Drosophila melanogaster: one gene and its partners. The protein of the gene in region 4 interacts with the protein of the main gene of each other region in a pairwise test. Each region holds a gene or a part of one and is shown on either strand. Other genes may lie near its edges.

Region 1 (6,037 bases), on a different chromosome or scaffold from region 4:
TCCATCAACACCGCCCGAGAAACCGTTGATCTTTCAGCGGGGCAACTATATTACCACTTTGGTGGGGGGCAAACCCATCGAGCTGATGGGTGACGACATGGCCTCGACACAAACCCCTCCCGGACATGTAACCAAAACACTGATCAAGGAGAATACCCACATCGATTTGAGAGATCGTCTGTCGCACATGTACTCCATGCCCTCCAAATCGCTGTCCGCCTCGAAGATCTCGATTAATAGCGATTCTGCCTATATGCAGCACCATCGACGTGATAAGGAGCGCCATCGCGATCGCCAGCACCGGGAACGCCCCAGAGATCCTCTCCAGCAACAGCAGCAACTGCATCGCGAACATCTCATGAGCACGCACGCACGCAGTGTAGAGCACCTGAATCATTACAATGGGTAGGTTATTCGCGATTCTTCGAGATTCTTGTGTAGATGTTCTAGCAAAGACAGGCTTTTTCATAGATTTAAATTTTCCTGACTAATCTCCCCGATCTTCTTCGCCATTCCAGACTGGATCGTCGCCGAGACACGCCCCGACAAAGTGAGTCGAACACACTTCGAGCCCGCCTGCCCAGCGATATGAGGAGTGTAAAATCCCTGGATTTCGATAGCGAAAACGAATCGAAGCCTGCGACTGAGACGCGTACCACTAGACCCACTCCGCCCAAGAAACCCCTCCGGCTATCGCTGCAACGAGCCCAAAGTCTGCAGACCGTGGAGCTGCACCCCTGTGCGGATATCGAACGAAAGCGGCCCATGAAGAGGGTCCACCACAACAACAACAACAACAACAAAGGTGGAGAATCACCGACTGGAGAGGGCCAGACCATGCTCATCGAGAACTGCAGTCCCATGCACACGGCTTCCCTCGGCAGGCACAAGCTCATCTAGAAACCCGATCCCAATCCAACCAAAACTAATTGTTAATCGAAGTAGCTTAATCCTCGACCGATCCTAACCGGCGGTTAAACCCAAAAAACAGGCGGACATGTGCAAAATTACAGTAGGCAATATAATTTTAACCAGCTCCCAAGTGGAAAGTTTCTTATTATGTAGTAGCAGTAGTATGTACTTACATTCTATATCTTGTATAAGTAGGGCTTGGCTATCAACATTTAGTATTGAGAGAATCAATAATTAAGAGTTTTTGTATGTACGATGATTTTATTAGCACAATTTACAAATGTGAATACACGAATATTTTCACCTACTTAAATGCGTTATTTATTTAAAAAATTCGATCCCGGCCTGCTATAAATGTGATGTAACTACAATTTCATGGCATCGGTTGGCATATCAGAAGCTATTACCTGGCAACTCATTTTCAAAGAATTTGTAGCAGTAGTTCTTCAAATTGCTTCGCCGTATCTGGAAAGCATGCCAATATTTACGACCTCCATTGTAGGCACGAGCCTGGCACATATTTTATGACGCCACAGTGATAAGGTATTCAAATGAAAAGCACGTTAGCGTGTTTCAGCTGCGCTTTTAGTAAGTTCAAAGAATTACTTAATAGCTATAATTTGGATATAATTAAAAAAAAGGCCGTTAATAGGATAATAAATATATCATCAGAGCTGGACAAAAGAATCTGATCAATCTGCAGTTGATAAAAAAAACTCAACGAGGGAGATAGAGCGATAGAGCGGTGAAGTAAGCCCGAGATAAACCTGAGAGCGGAACTCTCGCCTACGCGATCGTGCTGACCGCCAAATGCAATATCCGCCGCTCCACCTGGTGGCGCTCTCAATTCTCAATTCTGCGGTCTTCTTGCTCTCGCCAAATCTGCCCCAATGTTCTCTCAGCGAGTCGATTTGCGATGGCAATGCCAGAGGCTCGAAACAGTTCCGTCGCAGGTTTCCAACGGTACAGAGGTGCAATCGCTTAATTCTCGCAAAAAACAATCAGTACCCAATTATAAAATAGTTGCTAACAAGGTGAGTTTGCAACGGACGCGAAAAAAAAGAAGATCAAGGGCTAGTAATCGAGAATATTGGGTGAAGGTTAAGCTGAAGTTGAAGTTACTTGAGTTAATTGTAATTGTTAATTGTTCATAATTTATTGGTTTGCTTACATTTTAGAACCTGATTTAGATATATTACCCACAATTGCGTGTTACCAAAAAGAAACCAGTTACCGCAAAAACGGAGTTTACTTCACTGATTTTTGATTCTCTCATTCACTGTCCGCTCACCCTTGAGTGGGTTAAGGTAACCAGTTATTAATCCAGAAAAATGAGTGGGCAAAAATGCAGCACAGACCAGACACAAAATATTGTACATATCCATTACAATCCACACATTCCACGGCTTAAAACTTCAATAAACATTTAAATTCCCAATCGTGAACAGTTGGTTGAACAAGTGTTTACGATATTCTATCTTTTCATATATGTAAAATTATGGCTTGTTCTTATCTCAAAACTGCATAGCTTCGGCGTTTAAATTAGACGCGAAGTCTCTGTGTGTGAAATCAAGTAATCTTGGCTGTATTGTTTGCAAATTCACGAAGAGAGCCCTGCGATCAAATTGTTCAGATAAGCATCTTCATTAGCATATCGTTTCACGGTAAAACTCAAACTGAGTTATTATTTTCAAATCAATCATATTTAATCAGCAAGCAAGAGCCCTAATAAACCTTATTTGATGGACAAGCAGTGGCTATTAGTTGCAATTTGTGACCCATTTCGTGACAGTTTGAACCAGAATAAGTAAATACCTGGCAAAAAACAGATTAAAATACTTATACGTAATGACAATGGCATTTTTAGTTCCGAAATTCAGTCGCTCTACGAGCGTGAGAATCGTAAATTATGGGACCGATTCCAAGTGCAGATAAGGATACGTGTGTAGAGCAGGTACTGACCGCGTTTGAAGATCGTTTCAGAACTCGAGCGTGCAAGATCGCCAGCATATCGCAGACACATTGATAAGACCGTAAGGAAACCGGACCCATAAACAAATATTGCCCCGATAAAGTGTGACACCCATCCATTTCATTTGTGGAACTTTGGAAGCGAAGTGCGTACGAAAAAGAGATTGTTGATTGACCTTCCCGCAGCCGCACTTAACCCTGTGAAAAAGGCTGTTTGCATTTAGTTTCGTTTGGGTATCGCTCATTATTCACACACATAAATAATAATACCCGTTCGCACATCATATATGACCCACAAATCGTTTCATAAATTGAGGCTAGGCGCTTCAATTCCGCACACAACTGTCCGTTTAAATGGAATCAAGAGAATGTACACCTGATGACGTCCAAGCCAGAGATGAGCTGGAATTCAAGTGCCAGAGATGAGTTGGCATCACGGAATTTGAGATTACAAGACATAAACCCTCCTAGCATTTCCCAAAACTGAAAGTATTTGGTTCCAAATCATTTAAAGCTTTACTATAAAGCATTATATAAATAGTTTTGGAAGATGTTTTTAATATTGAGTCCATATCAATTATCGAAATTTCAGGATTATCATTTAGTTCATTTTTAGCTATGTCCAGTAGATCATCCCTGGTGGGATTTTCTCTGCTTGTGCCACTCAATTTAAAATTATTTATTTATAGACATTTAAACATTTCTAACATTTGCTATCCGAGTCGTACACGTGTCTAATTTAACTATGATTTCCTTGCAGTTCAAAATGATGCAATATCTTGTTGTTAGCCTGGCACTCTGTGCCACAATTTGCTCTGCTGCGCAGACGGTAAGATATATAATCTCGTTAATTTGAAAATCCACTTATAATTAGGACACTGAACTTACTTTGCAGCGCAATATGCCCATTCAAGCCATTGCCTATCTGATTGGACCCGTGCAATCGGATAATACCCAGGTCAAGGGCAACGTGACCTTTACGCAGAACGACTGTGGCCAGAATGTCCATGTGCGCGTCCAGCTGGAGGGATTGAAGGAGGGCAAGCACGGCTTCCACATTCACGAGAAGGGAGATCTGACCAATGGATGCATCAGCATGGGTGCTCACTATAACCCCGATAAGGTAGATGCGGGATTCTTTATAGGATTAGGTGTCTAAATCACTAATATAACTTTTATGTCTCAGGTTGATCACGGTGGCCCCGATCACGAGGTGCGTCATGTTGGCGATCTGGGCAACCTGGAGGCCAACTCCACGGGCATTATCGACGTTACATACACGGATCAGGTGATCACCTTAACTGGCAAGCTGGGGATCATTGGCAGGGGAGTTGTTGTCCACGAATTGGAGGATGATCTCGGTCTGGGCAACCACACGGATTCCAAGAAGACCGGCAATGCAGGCGGCCGCATTGGTAAGTAGTCAGTGTAAAATAATAAAATAATAATAATAATAAAATATTTGTTTTAAACCTTCTTTCAGCCTGTGGTGTTATTGGCATCAAGTAAATATCCCTTCCAACGTGTCAGCCAAATCAATATGCTGCTCGAATACTTTATGTGTAGTTGTGTAACTCCAGGCGTAGTAACTAATGAAATGTTTTCCCAATTTTCCCAATTCCCCCACCCACAATCACACTCACCCTTACATGTTTGGCTTACACATTTCCCTCAATTAATTGTCTCAGTTCACTGACTCACTCGATTTGCCGTGTGTGTGTTTGTGTGTAATAAAATCAACAAAAATTAACCGAAATCTAAGCTAAACATTAGCATACTCTGTACCACTTGTGTTCTACCACCTCATATTCATGGCCTAAACAAACTTTCGCGCTTTGCTGGGGTTGCTTTTCCGAGTGGGTAGGTATGACAGAGAGCCTTTTTACCTATCATTTTTACTAACATCATTAGCATTAGTCGGTCGGTCGGTCGGTCGGTCGGTCGGTCGGCGAAGAGAAGGGGATATTGGAATAACAACTGCCGCTGGAATCGGAACTTTACTGATCCAACCAGGGTTCAATCAAAAAACTCACATTGTATGTTTTCCAGTGGCCCATCTGTACCTGCACCTGCACCACCAACACCACGCCATCAGCCACTGTACTATGTGCCCCATGGGGAGCCACAAGATCATGTTGTCTATCCACTCCAGCACTATCCTTTGCCATACCCACACCCATATCCATATCCGCACCCATACCCCTATCCGTATCCGTTGTCGCACCAATTGTATCTGTGAGATCGCGAGACTACACCGTTCGCCTGTTCCACCTTCTAATTGCAGCTCGGATGTGGACGAGTGGCCATGTCGCGATGGTGGCGCCGGCGCCCTGCGCTACTCCTTCTCCATCCTGACCGTCATCGTGGCCCTCATCATGGCCCGCAGCCTTGACTAATCCGAAACATGCACCCGGATCGGATCGAATGCACGCATGTGGCATGGGATTGTTGGCCATCGTAGTGATCTGCATACCTACTTACACACTAACCACACAACCATGAGTCGCACACCACTACCAACAGTAATTATAATACTCCAGCATTATCCACCCAAATAGAGAAATCAAAGGAACTAACTAAGCTACTTGTAAAGTGTTTGAATTGATCGATAATAAAGTTTGTTATTTGTATTTCGGGTGCTTGCAATTTGTACGTGCTTAGATAGTAACAAAAGTTGCTGAAAATGAACGACAGATAAGGGTTAGCTCTAATTTTATAAAAAAGATTAGACAAAGTGTTTCCAATGGACTGTTAGAATTGCACATAAATCACAGTAGTAGTAAGTTATCAAGAGAATTAAATATAACTTCAATTTTGTATGTTGATTTCTAAGGACAAATAGCTGTTTGTTCCCTAAAATAGGTTACCAAATAAATGAACACTCAAAAAGTTGGTAGGAAAACTATATATAGAACTTCGACGTCACCAAAGCTTTTCCTACCCATACACCTTTATGTGGCTGCGAATGGGTCATATAACATTTAGTTGCCTTTGATTTGCTGAATTCCAGCTTAGAGCCACAATTTGCTTTAAATTGCGGAAGCCTTCAGAAAATATTTGTGCTCCAATCATTCAGAGAACTCCAATTCCCAGGGATTTTGATTCCAAGCCGCCGCAACTAATGGTCAAGCAACAGTTTTTGCTTTTATTTTTT
Region 2 (7,337 bases), 1.7 Mb from region 4:
ATTCAACATCACCTTTCACATCTGGCATGCCGGGCATTTCGGTACCATTAATAACTTTAGGCTGGGTCGATTGCCCTCTGTATCCGTGGACTGGTCAGAGATCAACGCCGCTTGGGGCCAGACGGTGCTTCTGCTCTCTGCGCTTGCTCGTAAGATAGGGCTCACCTTCGAGCGGTATCGTGTAGTACCCTTTGGAAATCATTCGTATGTTGAGGTGCTCGGCGAGAATCGAGAGCTCCCGCTTTATGGCAGCGGCGGATTTAAGTTTTTCTGGGACACCAAGTTTGATGCTGCCATGGTAGCTTTTCTCGACTGTCTTACCCAGTTCCAGAAGGAGGTCGAGAAGCGCGACACCGAGTTCCTGCTGCCCTACAAGATGGAGAAGGGCAAGATCATCGATCCCTCCACGGGAAATTCCTATTCTATTAAGTAGGTTTAGAAATGGTAAAGATTTTACCTATAATAATGATGGTTTCCTTACAGAATCCAGTTTAACTCGGAGGAGCAGTGGACCAAGGCACTGAAATTCATGCTAACCAACCTGAAATGGGGATTGGCCTGGGTTTCTTCACAGTTTGTGTCACCGTGATTTTTCTTTCTCTTTTAAATGTATATTTATAAATTACTTAATTATCCCCATAGTATTAAATCTAAATCTTTCAAATTTTAAATGAGAAGTATTTATATTGTTATGTTTATTTCAGGTAAATTTTGAAATAAGAACGTCTTTGGTACATACTTAATTCAAAAGTTATTTATCTAGTTTTGTATAGCTTTTTTCTGTGTTTTTGGCTCCTCCTCGCTGTCGTCAGAGTCAGAGTCGGATCCAGAGATGTCATCGTCTATCCAGAGTGTGCCCTTTTTCTTCTTTTTTGCCTTGGTCTTGTCTACGGCGGGGGATTTCCTCTTTGTGCCACTGGAAGTTGCTTCCTCGACGCCTTTCTCCTTGTTCTCCTCGGCCTGCTTGAGTCCCTCCTCGAAGGCGTCGTTTACCTTCTCGGTCAGATTAGCCCTGGCTTCCTCGTACTTATCGTCCTTAAAGTCGTGCTTGGGCACGGCCAGCAGTTTCTCGATTTTTCGCTTTTTACGCTCCTCGGCCTCCCGTTCCCGTTCGCCCTGCTTCTCCAGCCAGGCGCGCACCCGCTTCTCCTCGTTGATATCCCGCAAACGGCGACCACTTAGATCGCGGCAAGCCTCGCGATTGGTTGTCTTTTCAATTTGCGCACCAATGGCTCGAAGCATGGAACCAAATCCTCCTTTGCCACCGAGCTGGCGGAGAACGCAGTGAACATCTCCAGATGAAATTTCTCCCTCCAAGCGCTTGCCATTGCTGACTAAGTAGTATTCCCCTGGTTGCAGGTTCTGTAAAAAAAAGGGCCACATTGCAAAATCTTATGAAAATTATACATAACATACTCACTGTTTTCTCCGCAATCCGACTGTAAAGCTCATCACATTTAACGTGATCTCCACAAGAAATTATATATTTACTGTTTATAAAAATATTTATGCCCATTTCGACGACCTTTTCGATAACGATTGTTATTTCTAGTCTGCTTTGTGCTGCATTTGCGCCCGCGGTGAGTGTGTTAGAGAGAGAAAGCGGTGATGCAAGCGTTATCGCCTGCCCTAGGGTTGCCCCCTTTTCGATAACGTTGCTTCAAATAACTTAAAGTCGCGAATTAATGTGTGATCCTTGTCATATTATCGCTGAATTTCCATTAAATACCCCTACGTAAGTAATTTTATAAAAAAATCTTGTCAAGTCCATACTCTTTATTGCATTTCCCATCTTGCCGCCATTGCGTTTTTATTTCTCAGCAAGTTGGCAGCCCTGGCTCTCGCACACAAAATCTCATTAATTAGTTCGCATTTTAGACGACGAAGGTAAAATTTTAGCGACGCGTTCAACGTACATTTGCAGCCCCTAACAACTTTGAAAGTTTCGCAAAATTAATACAAACCGGTAGCGGCTAAACTTGACCGTCAAATGAAGTGTGCGAACAGAGTGCAGAGCAAGTAAAATGCGGTAAATTTACAAACGCAGCCACGTCACAGAGAGCGCATTAAAGAAAAAAGAAGAGAGTGCGAATTTTGACAGCGAAATTCGAGTCTGAACAATGGACATTAAGCGAATGCACTATAGTGCGGCGGGGACGATAATTGTTAAGCCCAGTTTTCGGCACCGCTGTCAGGCAGCAGGGTCGGGGCGGAGGCGTGGCGGTTGTTGGTGGCGGGGGAGCGGCATTAAAAGATGGCAGCACAAAAGCGAACAAGATACATACATATACGTACATATAGCGGCAAGCTGAAAAGGCAAATGAAAAGTCCCGCATTCAAATCGTCTTGGTATTGGTATATTGGCATTAGTTTAAATACACTCAATAGCCAAAAGCGGAAAAAAGCAAAAGCAAAAGAAAAGTGGAGACTCATGTGAGGAAAACGCAAACAAAAAGACCAGCGCAAGACGCCTCTCTCTGCGTGTGTGTGTGTGCGTGTCGGTGCTAATGTGTCAGTGTGTGTGCGAAAAAGAGACGAAGAAAATAAGCAGCAAATGAGCAACCAAAACCACCCCGCCATTCCCTTTTCGCCGTCTCTTCAGTTCTGTGACTTTGACTGACATTTTCTAGCGCCGCCGCCGCAGAAATAATCAAAATCAAGTTTAGTTCTATGCAAATTAAAATTTGATTTCGCAAAGTGTGAAGAAGAAGAACACGAATCTAATGCAACCGTGTGTGTCACCCGCCCGCCGGTTTCGCAAAATTTCCCACATCTTTCTCTTCCTTTTCCCTGTTTTTCTTTCTCCTCATTTTGTTATCGACGGTCATTCATCTTCTAGTCGATTTTCGTCGTTCTCCTTTCGCCCTCGTCTCGCTGGCGTGCCTGAGTGTGCATTTCTGTGTGCTGTGCGTGAGTGGCCCAAAAAAAAATTTGTAAATGTGAATACAGAAATATATTAATTATAAACTAAATCATTTTGCAAGGCCCGCAAATTTGTTGCGAATGAATGGCTATTGTCAATTGTTGGCCATTCGCTTTGTTATAAAGACAGGCAGTCTCTTTCCCCTGTCCTTTCCCACCCGCCTCTCTCGCTCCGAAGATAGCTCACTCACTCTCCCCGTGTTTTTCGTGTGCGCCAGTGTGTGTGAGCGTGCGTCTGTGTGTGCGTGTCCCTGCACTGCTTTGCCGCCTTCTTTGTTCCCATCATGCGAAAAGGGGGCGGGGCGGGGTAGTCGATTTATATCCATATCATTTGCGCCTGTTTTAAGGCCCACCGATCATGTGCCATTAGACCTTGTCCCACTCTTCCGGTTATCAGCGCAAAACTAACCCAAATTTACCTCTCTCTTTTACAGCAGCAACGATTCCAGGGGTCAGCTTCGAAACCCGAAAAGTACACTCAGCCTGCGAACTTTCACGCTGTTTAACTTAGCTAACTAATTTTTGTACAAGAGCAAGAATAAGTAGTCGCAACCAAGTATTCATATGTACATTTATACAATCCTGTATATTGGAACGGACAACTATTTATAATCACAACAACAACATCCGGATCATCGAAGAAGGATCGAGCAATTCTGAAATACCAAGTAGTGTACACCAAGAAACCCCGAATCCAAATCCCAGGCCCCCAGGAAAGGAAGTCAACCGATTATAGACATATATATTAGGCGACTAATCGTATATTCCAAAACACTCCATTAGCGTTTAGTTAGGACAGATATATTTATACGTATACATATAGATGTTTAACGAAATTTTCAATTAGGCGCCAGATTAGGAACAAAATAAAGCAATAAACGACGAACCTCAGCGTTAAGCAAATAGATCAACCTACCTAGATTGAGCATATAAAGTTTATATAATCCAAAAAAATCAAGCCAAGCCGAGAGTAAGTCGAAAGTAGTAGAAAATCAAAGTATTCAAATCTCTCTTGGAGTTTCCTGTTAGCAGCTAGCACCAATTAGATTGCCGCAAATACACCTGTTTAATTAGCAGACACTTTAGATTTTGTACGTAGCTAGGAACTTAATCTGCAAATTTTTGATACATCCCCTTCCGATTAATGCGGCCAGGTGCAGTAGTTGCAATTCCGGTTTTAGTGTAGAGTCAGTAGATTGTCGCTGTAGCCTAGTGTATAATCAGATCAAAAAAGCCACAGTCCCGTGACATCCGACAGCCATGGACGAGTCGCAACCGAAGACCCTATACGTGGGCAACCTGGATAGCTCAGTGTCCGAGGACCTGCTAATTGCCCTCTTCAGCACCATGGGGCCCGTCAAAAGCTGCAAAATCATTCGGGAACCGGGCAACGATCCATATGCCTTCATCGAATATTCCAACTACCAGGCAGCCACAACAGCTCTGACCGCCATGAATAAACGCCTATTCCTCGAAAAGGAAATCAAGGTAAGCTGATTAGCTTCTCTTAAGTTATCAAGTGGACAGCGGTCATTTTCATTCATTTTGTTCGAAACTACACTCTTGCAACACACACATTCCCCACGACCAAGCCCTCATGTTATTTTAATTATGTAGAACTTAATTGATTATTACCTATTAAACGAATGCTCTTCGCAGGTCAACTGGGCCACCAGTCCCGGCAATCAGCCGAAGACAGACATCAGTTCGCACCACCACATATTCGTGGGCGACCTCAGTCCCGAGATTGAGACAGAAACACTGCGCGAGGCTTTCGCCCCATTCGGAGAGATCTCCAACTGTCGCATTGTGCGCGACCCTCACACCATGAAGTCAAAGGGTTACGCCTTCGTGTCGTTTGTGAAAAAGGCGGAGGCAGAGAACGCCATCCAGGCGATGAACGGCCAGTGGATTGGCTCGCGCTCGATACGCACCAACTGGTCCACGCGCAAGCTGCCACCACCACGCGAGCCTTCCAAGGGCGGAGGCCAGGGAGGCGGAATGGGTGGCGGACCGGGCAATGGGTCCGGTGTAAAGGGAAGTCAACGCCACACCTTCGAGGAAGTGTATAACCAGTCGAGCCCCACCAACACCACCGTATACTGTGGCGGATTCCCGCCGAATGTCATCAGTGACGACCTGATGCACAAGCACTTCGTCCAGTTTGGTCCCATCCAGGACGTGCGGGTCTTCAAGGACAAGGGCTTCTCGTTCATCAAGTTTGTTACCAAGGAGGCAGCCGCCCACGCCATCGAGCACACGCACAACAGCGAGGTACATGGAAACCTGGTAAAGTGCTTCTGGGGCAAAGAGAACGGAGGCGATAACTCGGCCAATAACCTCAATGCCGCCGCTGCCGCGGCAGCAGCCTCTGCCAATGTTGCCGCCGTTGCGGCAGCCAATGCTGCGGTTGCCGCTGGAGCGGGTATGCCCGGTCAGATGATGACGCAGCAACAGATCGCCGCCGCAACAGGAGCGGCGATACCCGGCCAAATGATGACACCCCAGCAGATTGCGGCGCAGTATCCATACGCGTACCAGCAGATGGGCTACTGGTATCCACCTGCGGTAAGTGTTGTATTCTTTAAATACGCAGTGACCTAAAGATTGACCCTAACTTTGTGCTTTTCTGCAGACTTATCCCACAACCCAGATGCAGACGCAATACATGCAGCAGGGCTACTATCCCTACGCCTACCCTACCAGTGCTCAGCAAGCGGGAGGAGTCCGTAAGTTTACTTTTCTCAGTTGCTGAATAATCGTGACCTTGGCTTAAACAGCTTGCATACAATTTTCAGCGGCTGGATACCGCATGGTGCCGCCGAATGTAGCATGGGGCGTGCCCGGAACTGTGGTGCCCGGTGTGACGGCTGCCGCAGCATCCGCGGCCGCTGCAGCGAACGGATCACTTGCCCCCCAAATGATGTACAGTGCTGCGATGCCACAATACCAGACCCAATGAGCTGAGATGTGACGCCAGCTTCGACGCCGTTTGCAGCATCCGGGAAGTCGCCCCCAGCCGCAGCCACAACCACCTCTGCTGCATCAGCTTCCGCACCTGCAGCAGTTGCAAGCGCATTACGCACGTTTAGGTTACGTACAATACCGAGTAGTAGCAAAGTCGGAGCCGCTCCTGGCCATGCCGTTGACCAGCGGCAGCAGCCACATTGACGGTGGCAATGTATCTGGAGATTATTAAGGATGCGCGAGTGTCCACTTTGAAGTTGTGGCTACGGTTGCGGCTGACTGCGGTGGAAGGAAGCGGAATCGGGTGTGGTATATAGCCCCCCAAAGTCGAACGTTAAGGCGGTGCGTGGAGCTCAACTTCAAGTGATCCACGCCGGCGACAACTGAAAGAACATCAATTGAAAAGCTCCGGGCGATGGGCGGGTAGCTGTAACAATCTAATCCAATCTAAGTACGTGTTAAATTAATTTAATGATTTCTAATTTAAGCAGATATAGGCGTATAAACGAAACGGAAATAAAATAAACCGAATGAGAAATTCAACAAAAACAAACAAATAAAAACTGAAAAGAGAAAATGCTAATTACGCGCGACAGAGTTAAAACAAAAAGAAAACAATCGAAACAAAAACGTGACAAAGCAAATTGTAATTGTAACTATGTGGAACATGTGTCAACGAAAACTGAAGACGGAAAGAGGGTAGTTTCAGTGGGATGAAAGGATAGCCGCAAGCAAGCAAGCCGAATGCAAAAACAAGAGGAAAAACAAATTTAGTCACTAAGAGAATGTAAATTCGAGCATACATATTGTATATTTCCAATGTGGAAAACGAAATGCGATATAAATATGTAAAATGTAAAATAAAGAAGCAAAAAAATATATAAAACAAGTGAGAAAACGAAGGGACGCTGGTTTTTATATTGAGGTAATGAATTAGGATGTGGAATTATTATTTCAAACTTTAATTTATATCATTGATGATAGAAGTGGTTACTACTACTACAAATCTGGTGGAGGATTCAGCGGAGTCTAAAATATAGTTAAAAAGTAATTAACTTTTACAATTGTGCTAAAAAGTTTTCTTAAGGTATAACATACATACATGAATGAATTTTATAGCTTTAATATTCTCTAGTGAGACGCAGTTTTTCTGCGAAACTAGTTTTCATGAATGCTTAATTCTTCTGCTTACTTTCTCTTAATTTAAATGCACCTGGTGATGTCAGCCGTTGCTCAATTCTCAATACACTACCAATGGTTTCCAATAGCTTAGAATTTTGTTGATGATTAAGAATGCAATTGATGTTTCTTGAAATCGATTTTATTTAGCGTATTCTATAGATTTCTTTATATATATAGTTTTATATGCATGTAGTTTTTTTTTGTATCTGTGTTTAGTAACTAGTCAAAGAACTCAAATTCCGGGTGGGCGAGCTGCGTTGAAGCTG
Region 3 (4,852 bases), 5.8 Mb from region 4:
AGCGGCAGAAGGACATGCAGAAAGAGTGGGCCAAACAAGAAAGAAACTCGTCTTTTGCATCGCTCTAACGGCCTCTTCTTATTGTTTACTTCACTTTTGTTATTACGTGAAGTTGCTGCTGTTTTTGTTGCATTTAAGCACATGCAATATACACTAAAAGAAAATCAGGATTTTCTTCACAAATATAAACATAGATTTACAATTGAATCGAAATGTTTTGTAGAAGTATCGTTATGTTTACTCTTGAGATCCCTAGAATTATATGTAACTTTGGTTTTAAACTGAACGTTTTAAGCTGAATCCTTAGAATTTTATTTATTTTTTAAATAAATATAAAGTTGAATCATTTTTTTCGAGTACTTCTGTGAGTTGGTGAGCAGGGAGAGTACATTCAAGACCCGTTGTCCGCTACATGAGCTATTCTATGGACACTCGACGTCTCTGCCGTGCGACGTTGATTCTATGCTAAATACGAGCAGAACAATGATAATGTCGCATGGTAAATTACATGTAATTATGTATTTTACCAACATTTCCCCATTTCACTGGCGACTCCTCCCCAGCCCAGACACTTTTTCGAGCACTGCTCTTTGCAACATTACCTCAGAACACCGTCGTCCTGTCGCTCGCTGTCCCTGTCACCGCTGTCGACACGAGAAAGTATGTTAATAACGCAAAAAGAGGAGTAATAACGAGGAGAAAAGAGTGCAATAATAGGGAGATACACCTTAAATTGCATCCTTTTTGTTGTCCTGTTTGGATTTAGTTCCAGGGCTACAATTAACGCAAGGCAATTGGCAGCAGGAGAAGCAAAGCTTCTCATGCAATTAATGGTATGTAGCTTATACAAAACATTTCATATTAGTGAAACTAAGTAATAATAACTTCAAAGGTTGTTGCTTTTATCTGACCCTTTTTCACAGTGTTTAGCATATAAGTGTGCTTACAATTGTTGAAAAGCTATTGCTGCTTTATCCTAGTTAGATATTATATTGTTAGATTAGTTTTAAAAGTTAATATTTTATGACCACTTGGACGCAAGGATGGATTCAGATGAAAAAGAATAGAAAATATTAACATCAGCTGGCTGTTCTTAACATTTGCCTTGTCCTGCAACGTATAACAGTTTTCAGGGCATGCCATAAAAATACTGGTATTTTCGAGTGACGAGGCGCAAAAGGACATTTCTGAAGGTTCTATTTAAAGCGACAAGTGGTACGGAAAATCATTATAAAAGCTCTGACTAAATTGGAAACTGAATTTTTACATGTAGATATTACGATTTTAATTTAAAGATATAACATTATATTTTTATTTAAATTATAAATCAGAAAACAAGCCTTGGCAGTCAATTTCAAATGTGGCTGGCGCTTTCGAAAAGCCTGTGCTCTCGGCTGCTCGGATTCTGCGCTCTGTGGCGACGGGAGCCGAAAGGACCTGAAAGGACGAGGCTTGCGACTTGTGAATGGCGCCTGGAGCGAGGAAACGAGCCAGTTGGGATGGCGAGAGGGACGGAGAGAGGGCCGGAGAGCAAGGATTCAGCAAGGAGCAGGCGGCGCGAGTGAGAGCGAGCCATTCGTGAATATTTCATGAACGATGGCTGCGATGGCAGCCAGCTTCGTGCCGCCGTTAACCGAACTCCTCGCCGCCGAAGAGAAATGTAGGGAAACGCATCCCGTCGTCGTCATCGACGGCAGAGGCAGCAGCAGCAGCGGCGACAGCGATTTTCACAGCAGCAGCGACAGCGGGAAAATCGGCAGCCTTTCTGCCGTCGTTGCAGTGGCAGCAGCGCCTCCGAATTTTGGCCAATGCGTGTGCTCCTGGCGTTCAGTAAGAAAAGCGTCGCCCAGCGGTCTAGTACGAACGTATACCGAACGCTTTGTATATCCTGTAAATTATATCCTGTGTGTGCGATTGATCACGTCGGCCTGGTTCGTGCGTAGTTCGAAACATAGACTTCACACCTTGCCTTGCCGTAGTGGCAAATTATTCTGGGCTTTGGGCTAGAACCTATTATTTTTTAAAGATCACTCAATCTTAACCTATACACGACATTTATTAAGCTGGTCTTATCACGCACTTGGAGTCAGTGACTTCTAAAGTTGCCAGCAAATTCGCGCGCGACAAAAACTCAGAGGCTGCCGGCAAAATAATAATTGCCATTGCAGCCAGCTACTTGAAACTTTCCCAGCGACTTTGAACCGGCTGAGCAGGGCTTCACTTTTTTGTTTGGCATTTTCCCCTGTTATTTTCTCACATATTTTCATTTTTTTTTTTTTTTTCATATTTTCGTTTTCTTTTTTGGCCTGACATTTTACATACCAGACATTGATATTAAAACAGAAGACGTCTGGCAGGCAGAGAACTGAACTCGTAGTACTACTCGCATGACAGGAATATTTATAATTTCCGCTGCCAGCAGACACAACAGAAAAGAAAGAATAATTTGCGATTACTGGCAGGCAGAAGGCGAAGGAAATCCCTGAAACGATATTACAAGCCAAGTGCGCTTGAGTTCGTGTATTTCCGGTTGAACAAACACATAAGCGAAACATAAAAGAAAGGCGAAAAAAATATACTTACATATTTTCCACATGCCCCCATACTTACGTCGATATATATATATATACATATATGTAGTACATAAATAGAGTAACCAGCCAGCACGAAAAGTGAAAATACATAGAGGCGAAGCAAGGCGAGAGCATATTTCATAAGTTTGCACTCCGCACACATAGAAAGTAGAAAGCAGCGACGAGAGCCAGAGAAAGCTGGCGACAAAGGCTAACGCACGACCTTTGGCACCGAGTTCAGATCCTGCGGAGGAGTCAGCAGCAAATCAATAAAGACAAAGACTCCCAGCCAGAGCAACTGCATCACCAGCCAACCCAGCTTCGCTTCCCGAGTCCAGCGACCAAAATTCACTCGCAAATTATGCTGACCATGTCGACCCTGATGATGCCAGCACCGACCATAGCCATGGGTGCCCCGCAGATCACAATGGGTCCGCACAAGCCGCCGGAAACGAAGCTGTTGGCCATCCATCCCGCTGCAGCGGCCGCAGCAGCCGCCCAGCAGCAGCAGCAGTCGGTGACAGCTGCTCATTTGCAGCACAATGGCCAACAGCAGCACTCGCAGCAGCAACAGCAACAGCAAATGTCGCAACAGCAACAGCAGCAGCAGCAGCAGCTCGTGGGCAACAACTCCAAGCCAGGTGAGTGGAAAAGCGAGTTTCCCGGGGTGAATGTCCTTTTCGTCCCGTTTCGGTTCTCGGTCTTGGTCTCGGTTTCGTTTTCGATTTCGGTTTCGGCGCAATTTCCACCGGCAAAAGGTGTTGCATAAATTGAGAAATGTCTCTGCCACTTTGCCCCTGAGACGTGTTTCGAATGCGGCAGACAACGATCTGCGTTTTGTTCTGGGGGGTACTATTCGCATCAACAACTGGAATAAATTTTCAATAGACAACGATTTCATTCAGCGACTAAACTTGTGTTTATTTGCAATATCAAAACTTAATTAAATGCATCATAACGGACTGGGCTGCAACCAAATAACCCAATTTTCTTTCTGATATTGGGAATGAAGGCAAATCTATGAAAATTGACAAATATTTTTGCCTAATTTATTGAAATGTCTATATGAAAACTCTGGGAAATGCAAACCGTTTAATATCATGTAAAGACCAATAAATCAAGTATTATTCTCAACAAAAAAAAAAACAAAAACGCCATCATAGTCATTTGCAATTCTAAACGTATTCAGATTGGGCTTCAGTTAGGATTTAATTGAATGAATTTTATTTTGCGATATAATTGCATTTCATTTTCAGCCAAGGATTTGTGCAGGCTTAAAAAGTTAGCAAATCATTCAAACACGGCCATGGCAAAAAATAATTTATCCTATTAGTTGTATCCTAATGAAATGCTGTTTGTGCTAAAATGTGTTCTATTTGTCAAATTTGTGCATTTATCTTAAAGAGCAATAAATTAGAGTATGCAAAATAACACAATATGCTACATATTATATATAATAATAAAATGCGAAACTTTAAAATAAACTAGAATTCAAGTGCAGCAAAAACTTCAAGCAAAAGCTCAGTTAACAACAACCTCTAGAGAAATAACAACAGCTTACGTATTCACAACAATGTCTGAACAATTACAATTCAAACCAAAAAACACCCCAGGCGATCGATATCAGGGCACGATAACGTACATATTTATAGAAATTTTGTATGCGTCAGATGGCCAAAATCATACTGGCAACACATTCAATTAAACGTGGCCCAGTCAGTCGGAAGTCAAGGAGGCAGATTTCGAAAATACCAATAGAGCACACGTATCACTTTCGGGCAGTTTTAAATGAGTAAAATTCCAAGGGGCCAAATTCGCACACGTAATCCGAAAAATAACAAACTCGAACACGCATTTCAGAGATGAATTATTGTGGACACCACCCCTCTGGGCTGAAAATGTCAAGCGTAGGCATTACAAGCATAAATATCAGTTACAATTTTCATATTTTTAACCACAAATGAAAAATTTGATACAGCTTGGGCAGGCAGGGGAAATTGCATGCCCGTAGAGATTTACAACTTAAAAACAACTTAAGCCGAAACTTGGAAACAAAGGCAGCAGCGATAGAGACAGAAACTGGGACTATTCTCCAATTTGTTGGCTCTACCAGCCCCGGCCCCAACAACACCCCTAAGTCCCTCAAACCGACAACGGTTGCTAATGGCAAAAACTATACACAAATAGACACTGGCAGGCATAAAACCGGAAACAACGGCACAGGAAGCTGCATGAAAATGAAACGAGGAAAAGCGGCCAGGCAAACCAGCCGGCCTGAC
Region 4 (4,122 bases):
GTTGGTGTTAATGAACCCTTGTAGCCTGATAGCTGTTAGTTGTTTACGTTCCGAATACCGATACCAAGATAGTACTGCCAATTCTACACTGCACAAATCCACTGGAAGTACTATACTATGATTTACTGCACAAATAAAATGTACTAAGCTAGATATTAAATATATCGTAGTAATTGGAACAGATCATTGTAAACCATTTCTCATTGATGTCAGGCCAACTAGCTAGGCAGAATTTGAATAGTCGTATATTTTAACATAACAAGATGCCATGCTGACTTTCAAATATTTTCGGGCAGTGCATCAACGACATTGTCACCTAACGTGGCTTCGTTAGGAAAGTGGCCAAGTTTGATGATCCGCAGGCACGCGCGTTTTATATTTAGCCCCACACCAGGGCGACTGCGATCCTCGCGCCAGAGGCTTCGAGGAGCGGGGCTAGTCACGTGCACAAGGACATTCCAAGGCTAATTACGTGTGGCATGGGGCTTGGCCAAGTTGGGTACTTCGGGTTCGGGCTTGGGTTTGTGTTTGAGCTTGGATTTGGGCTTGGTTCTTAGCTGGACTCTGGGATAGTGCCTTGAGTTGGGTAATAGTAATACACACATAGAACACGAACCGTTCGTTATTGTCGTCGCTTGTTGCGGCAGTTGCCGCAATCTGCGGCATGTATCTGTATCTTTTGCATCTGCGTGGATGTTACTGCTCCTGCTGCTGCTGCAATCGCCGCTTAATTAGCTGCGTAATTTATTATTGCTCTAATCTCAACGCCGGCGCCAGTGCCGTTGGCTTTGACAAATAAACAAATTATTCATATTAGAATATTAATAGTGCCTGCAGGGGTTTATCTGCACCGGAGTATGTGGAGTATCTGGCATAATTATGACCTGTTTGACAGACTGTTCTCTCCTGTTCCCTTTTCCTTTTCCTGGCCAGCCTGGGATTCTTTGGCTGGCATTACACTGGCTCTTGCCTGGTAATCGTTAGGCGGACAATAAAGTTGCACACTAACTAAATATGTAGGCACGCCGATGCAATCGCACAATTATGCTCAATTATGCAACTGGGAAGAGATCTTTAGATCAGCAGAAGCAGGTGCTTTAAGCAGGCACTAGGTGCTATCTGCTTGGTGCTAGGTGCCATGTGGAATGCAGGGCGGATATCATTGACTAATGAGCCCATCTCCGACTCAAACTCGACGTCTTCTTTTGCCCTGTCATAAAAATTAAAATGCATAATCGCGGGCGTTTCTCGCAGGGCTCTTGTTACACCAGTCGAGAGACCTTTTGCCGGTATAATTAACATTGCTCGCGATTCCACCAAGCTGGCTAGCAAAATGCAGCAAGTGCATGTGGATATTTATATAATTTGCAGCTGTCAGGTTTATTCACAGTCGGGGCTAATTAAGCCGGCGTTTAAGCCGCTGGCAATTAGACGATTTATCACTTGCCACAGAACCTCAAAATCATGCCCTTAGATCGCTGAGAAAGGCCAAGCAAATGCAAACAAACTTATGGCCCAAACACTCTGCTTACCACACACTTAACCACTTCACTTCGCTTCTTCAATGCTGCGCATGCGCAGCTCCCGTCGACGGCGCCGTCGGCAGAGAGTTGGGAACCGGGAATGCGGGGATTCTGGCCAGGCCCCCATATATAAAGCGTCGATTCTGGCCGCGATCACACTCATTTCCAGTTGAACGCGCCTGCCGACCAGTGGGCCAATTGATTCGTTAGCATTTCGATTAGGACTCTTCTGCTAAATTAAGAAATCACCGATCTTCACTTACTGACCAGGTAAATTTTTGTACATAAAGTGTTTGTGGAAAAAGTGTGAAAACATCAAACATAAAATTAAGGGTAATTGTTTAAAATTGCCGATCAAAAGGTGAAAAAAATTAAAAATTTTTGAATGCGAACACATACTAAGCAAAGAAATGGAAAAACAGCGGCTTTACTTCAGAGTAGAATACAATTTAATAAGTAGATATTAGTAAACCAAAAGTGCCTACTTTATTTAATTATGAATTATTAGCTTGGGGATACTGCACACTTCGGGGTATACTTTTTGCTCCGATCTCGGCCGGCGATGGGGCTCCAAAGTACTGGCCATATTTTTTCCGTTGTTCACTTGTGCTGGTGGGGGAAAATCCGCTGGTTGCGCAATTGGAGTGTGAGAAACTAGCTCGAAGCATGCAAATCAGCTTGAATGGGGCTTGGGGTCAGTCGGGGATCGACAGAAGATATACTCACCGCCAATGCCATGATCCAATTACAGCTATCAAATGGGTAACCACATGTGGAGCATCATACTAATGCTGCTGGTGCTGGAGCAACTAGTGGCCGACTCTGTGGCAGCCAATCTAGCCCAGCTGGTGAAGAAGCAGAGCCAACAGAAGCAGTTGCAATCCTCGCAGCCAGGACTGCAGGTGGGACAACAACAGTCGCAGGGACAGCAGATCCACACGCAGCAGTATGTCCAAGACACATTGGGCGAGCAGCAGGATCTAAAGTCGGAGGACGAGGAGGAACACGATCCCTACCAGATGATGCAGGAGTCGAAACAGGAGTCGCGATTGCCCAACTCTGCCAACTATCCCTGGAGTCCATATGCCGCACCTCAGGGCAATCCTTACGATGCCATGCCCAAGATGCTTCCCTTCATTGGCTATGCCCAGCCAGTGCTCATACCCGTCCCACTCTACCTGGCTCCGGATATGTTCTATCCCGCCTTTTCTGGCGCCAGCAACGATCTCGAGGATGTGGTGATGTCACGAGCCTCCGGTGGTCGGCGTCCTGGGGCCAATCACGCGTCATCAGCCCGCAATTCGCCCATCTACTACGTAAGACTGCCGCCCACACCGTATATGTTTTTGCCCAATATGCCAACGGCTCCATTTGGGGGTGGATTCTCACCACTGCTGACCTACCAGCCCATGCCCTCATTCTCCGCCTACGGTTCGGTATTCAATTTGCCCGTGAACTTCCTGGCCAACGGAAAGCCCACTGGAGTCTACCAAGTGAACGGATCTCCGGGTGAGGCGATGGGATCCCTGACACCTGGCTTGGGTGGCGGTGGATATGGAATGCGGCCACCGACGCCTAGTAATCCCTACAGACCCATGTCGTCGCCTTCGATGGGTGGTTATGGAGGCTCTCAGCAGAGCTTTGGACTCGCCTCCATGCCGGTTCCTCAGCAGGACTCCAAGCTGACATCGCTGAAGCGTCCGTTCGTGTTCAACGGTCGTCCCGAGGACATATACATCCTGCCAAACAACTTGGGTCCGCTCTACAACGAGCAGAGCTACTACTAATTGCACTTCAGGCAAATGGCTGTGGCAACAACTGAAAGTATTACATAATGCATTTACTAGATCGTCTTTTCGATCGTAACGAAGCTTGAGAAAAACAATTTAATAAACTATACACTTGGAAAAAATGTTTTTTTTTTTTTGGTGTAGCATCCAATTTGACGTCATACAACGAAATAGCTTATTTTTATTATATTTATGTACGTATATGTAATCTTCTCCATCAATTATATTTTGTATAAATTGTATATTTTTGGCCGAAAATATCAGATGGTGTAGACCAATAAATAGTAGTCATAATATCCTTATCAGCCGATGTTCTCGGACTTTAAGCGGCAAAGGCTTAAGTAAATGCAGTCGGCCACATATCGATGTAAATTCCAAAAAAGTCGAGAGGAGTGCTCCACAATCAGTCACCAATGGCTGCCACCTGGGCTGTCTTCCGCCTAATATACTCCTGATCCCCCAGATTGATGGCAGCTCCAACCAAGCCTCCCGTTTTCAAATCGAACTCATAGACGCGTGGCACGCAATTTGGAATGTTAACCTTTTCGATGGCCTCGTTGGAGATTCCTACGGAGTGACCATCGATGTAAACCATAAGCTATTGCTAAGCCTATCTAACTTACCCTCAATGTGCTGGACGAGAGCACGGGCCACAGTTCCGTGGACGCACATTAGTACCCGGGTGCCTTGGAACACTTCCCGCCTGACCTCCTTCCACACGGGTTTCACTCGATCGACGCACATGTGAAGGGATTCCGCGAGGGGGAACTCACCGCGAGGAACATCATCGAATATGGGATTGCTGCAAA

The links.
Region 1: the proteins of CG13857 (region 4) and Sod3 interact in a two-hybrid assay, tested with the Drosophila melanogaster proteins (one large-scale study listed by BioGRID).
Region 2: the proteins of CG13857 (region 4) and Rox8 interact in a two-hybrid assay, tested with the Drosophila melanogaster proteins (one large-scale study listed by BioGRID).
Region 3: the proteins of CG13857 (region 4) and CG34354 interact in a two-hybrid assay, tested with the Drosophila melanogaster proteins (one large-scale study listed by BioGRID).

The regions. Positions count from the first base shown.
Region 1 is NT_033778.4:11,379,924-11,385,960, reverse strand, and holds Sod3 (superoxide dismutase 3), read left to right. Parts: upstream 1-1,846; 5' UTR 1,847-1,946; intron 1,947-2,885; exon of another isoform or gene 2,886-3,029; intron 3,030-3,643; 5' UTR 3,644-3,649; coding exon 3,650-3,712; intron 3,713-3,778; coding exon 3,779-4,006; intron 4,007-4,069; coding exon 4,070-4,298; intron 4,299-4,366; coding exon 4,367-4,388; coding exon of another isoform or gene 4,389-4,392; exon of another isoform or gene 4,393-4,932; coding exon 4,933-5,122; 3' UTR 5,123-5,167; coding exon of another isoform or gene 5,168-5,279; 3' UTR 5,280-5,512; downstream 5,513-6,037. Other genes in the region: sprt (sprite), read left to right, coding at 1-405, 519-900. UniProt on the Drosophila melanogaster protein: Protects the extracellular space from the toxic effects of reactive oxygen intermediates by converting superoxide radicals into hydrogen peroxide and oxygen.
Region 2 is NT_033777.3:24,042,511-24,049,847, reverse strand, and holds Rox8 (Rox8), read left to right. Parts: upstream 1-1,582; 5' UTR 1,583-1,735; exon of another isoform or gene 1,736-2,058; intron 2,059-2,126; exon of another isoform or gene 2,127-2,349; intron 2,350-2,479; exon of another isoform or gene 2,480-2,660; intron 2,661-2,835; exon of another isoform or gene 2,836-2,910; intron 2,911-3,356; 5' UTR 3,357-4,182; coding exon 4,183-4,410; intron 4,411-4,581; coding exon 4,582-5,490; intron 5,491-5,557; coding exon 5,558-5,651; intron 5,652-5,702; coding exon 5,703-5,884; 3' UTR 5,885-6,792; downstream 6,793-7,337. Other genes in the region: Atg6 (Autophagy-related 6), read left to right, coding at 1-429, 484-589; CG5986 (uncharacterized protein), read right to left, coding at 760-1,362, 1,421-1,516.
Region 3 is NT_033777.3:28,145,038-28,149,889, forward strand, and holds the start of CG34354 (uncharacterized protein), read left to right. Parts: upstream 1-1,842; 5' UTR 1,843-1,890; exon of another isoform or gene 1,891-1,931; intron 1,932-2,462; 5' UTR 2,463-2,934; coding exon 2,935-3,214; intron 3,215-4,852.
Region 4 is NT_033777.3:22,391,678-22,395,799, reverse strand, and holds CG13857 (uncharacterized protein), read left to right. Parts: upstream 1-1,695; 5' UTR 1,696-1,793; intron 1,794-2,274; 5' UTR 2,275-2,281; coding exon 2,282-3,310; 3' UTR 3,311-3,611; downstream 3,612-4,122. Other genes in the region: CG7059 (uncharacterized protein), read right to left, coding at 3,717-3,880, 3,937-4,122.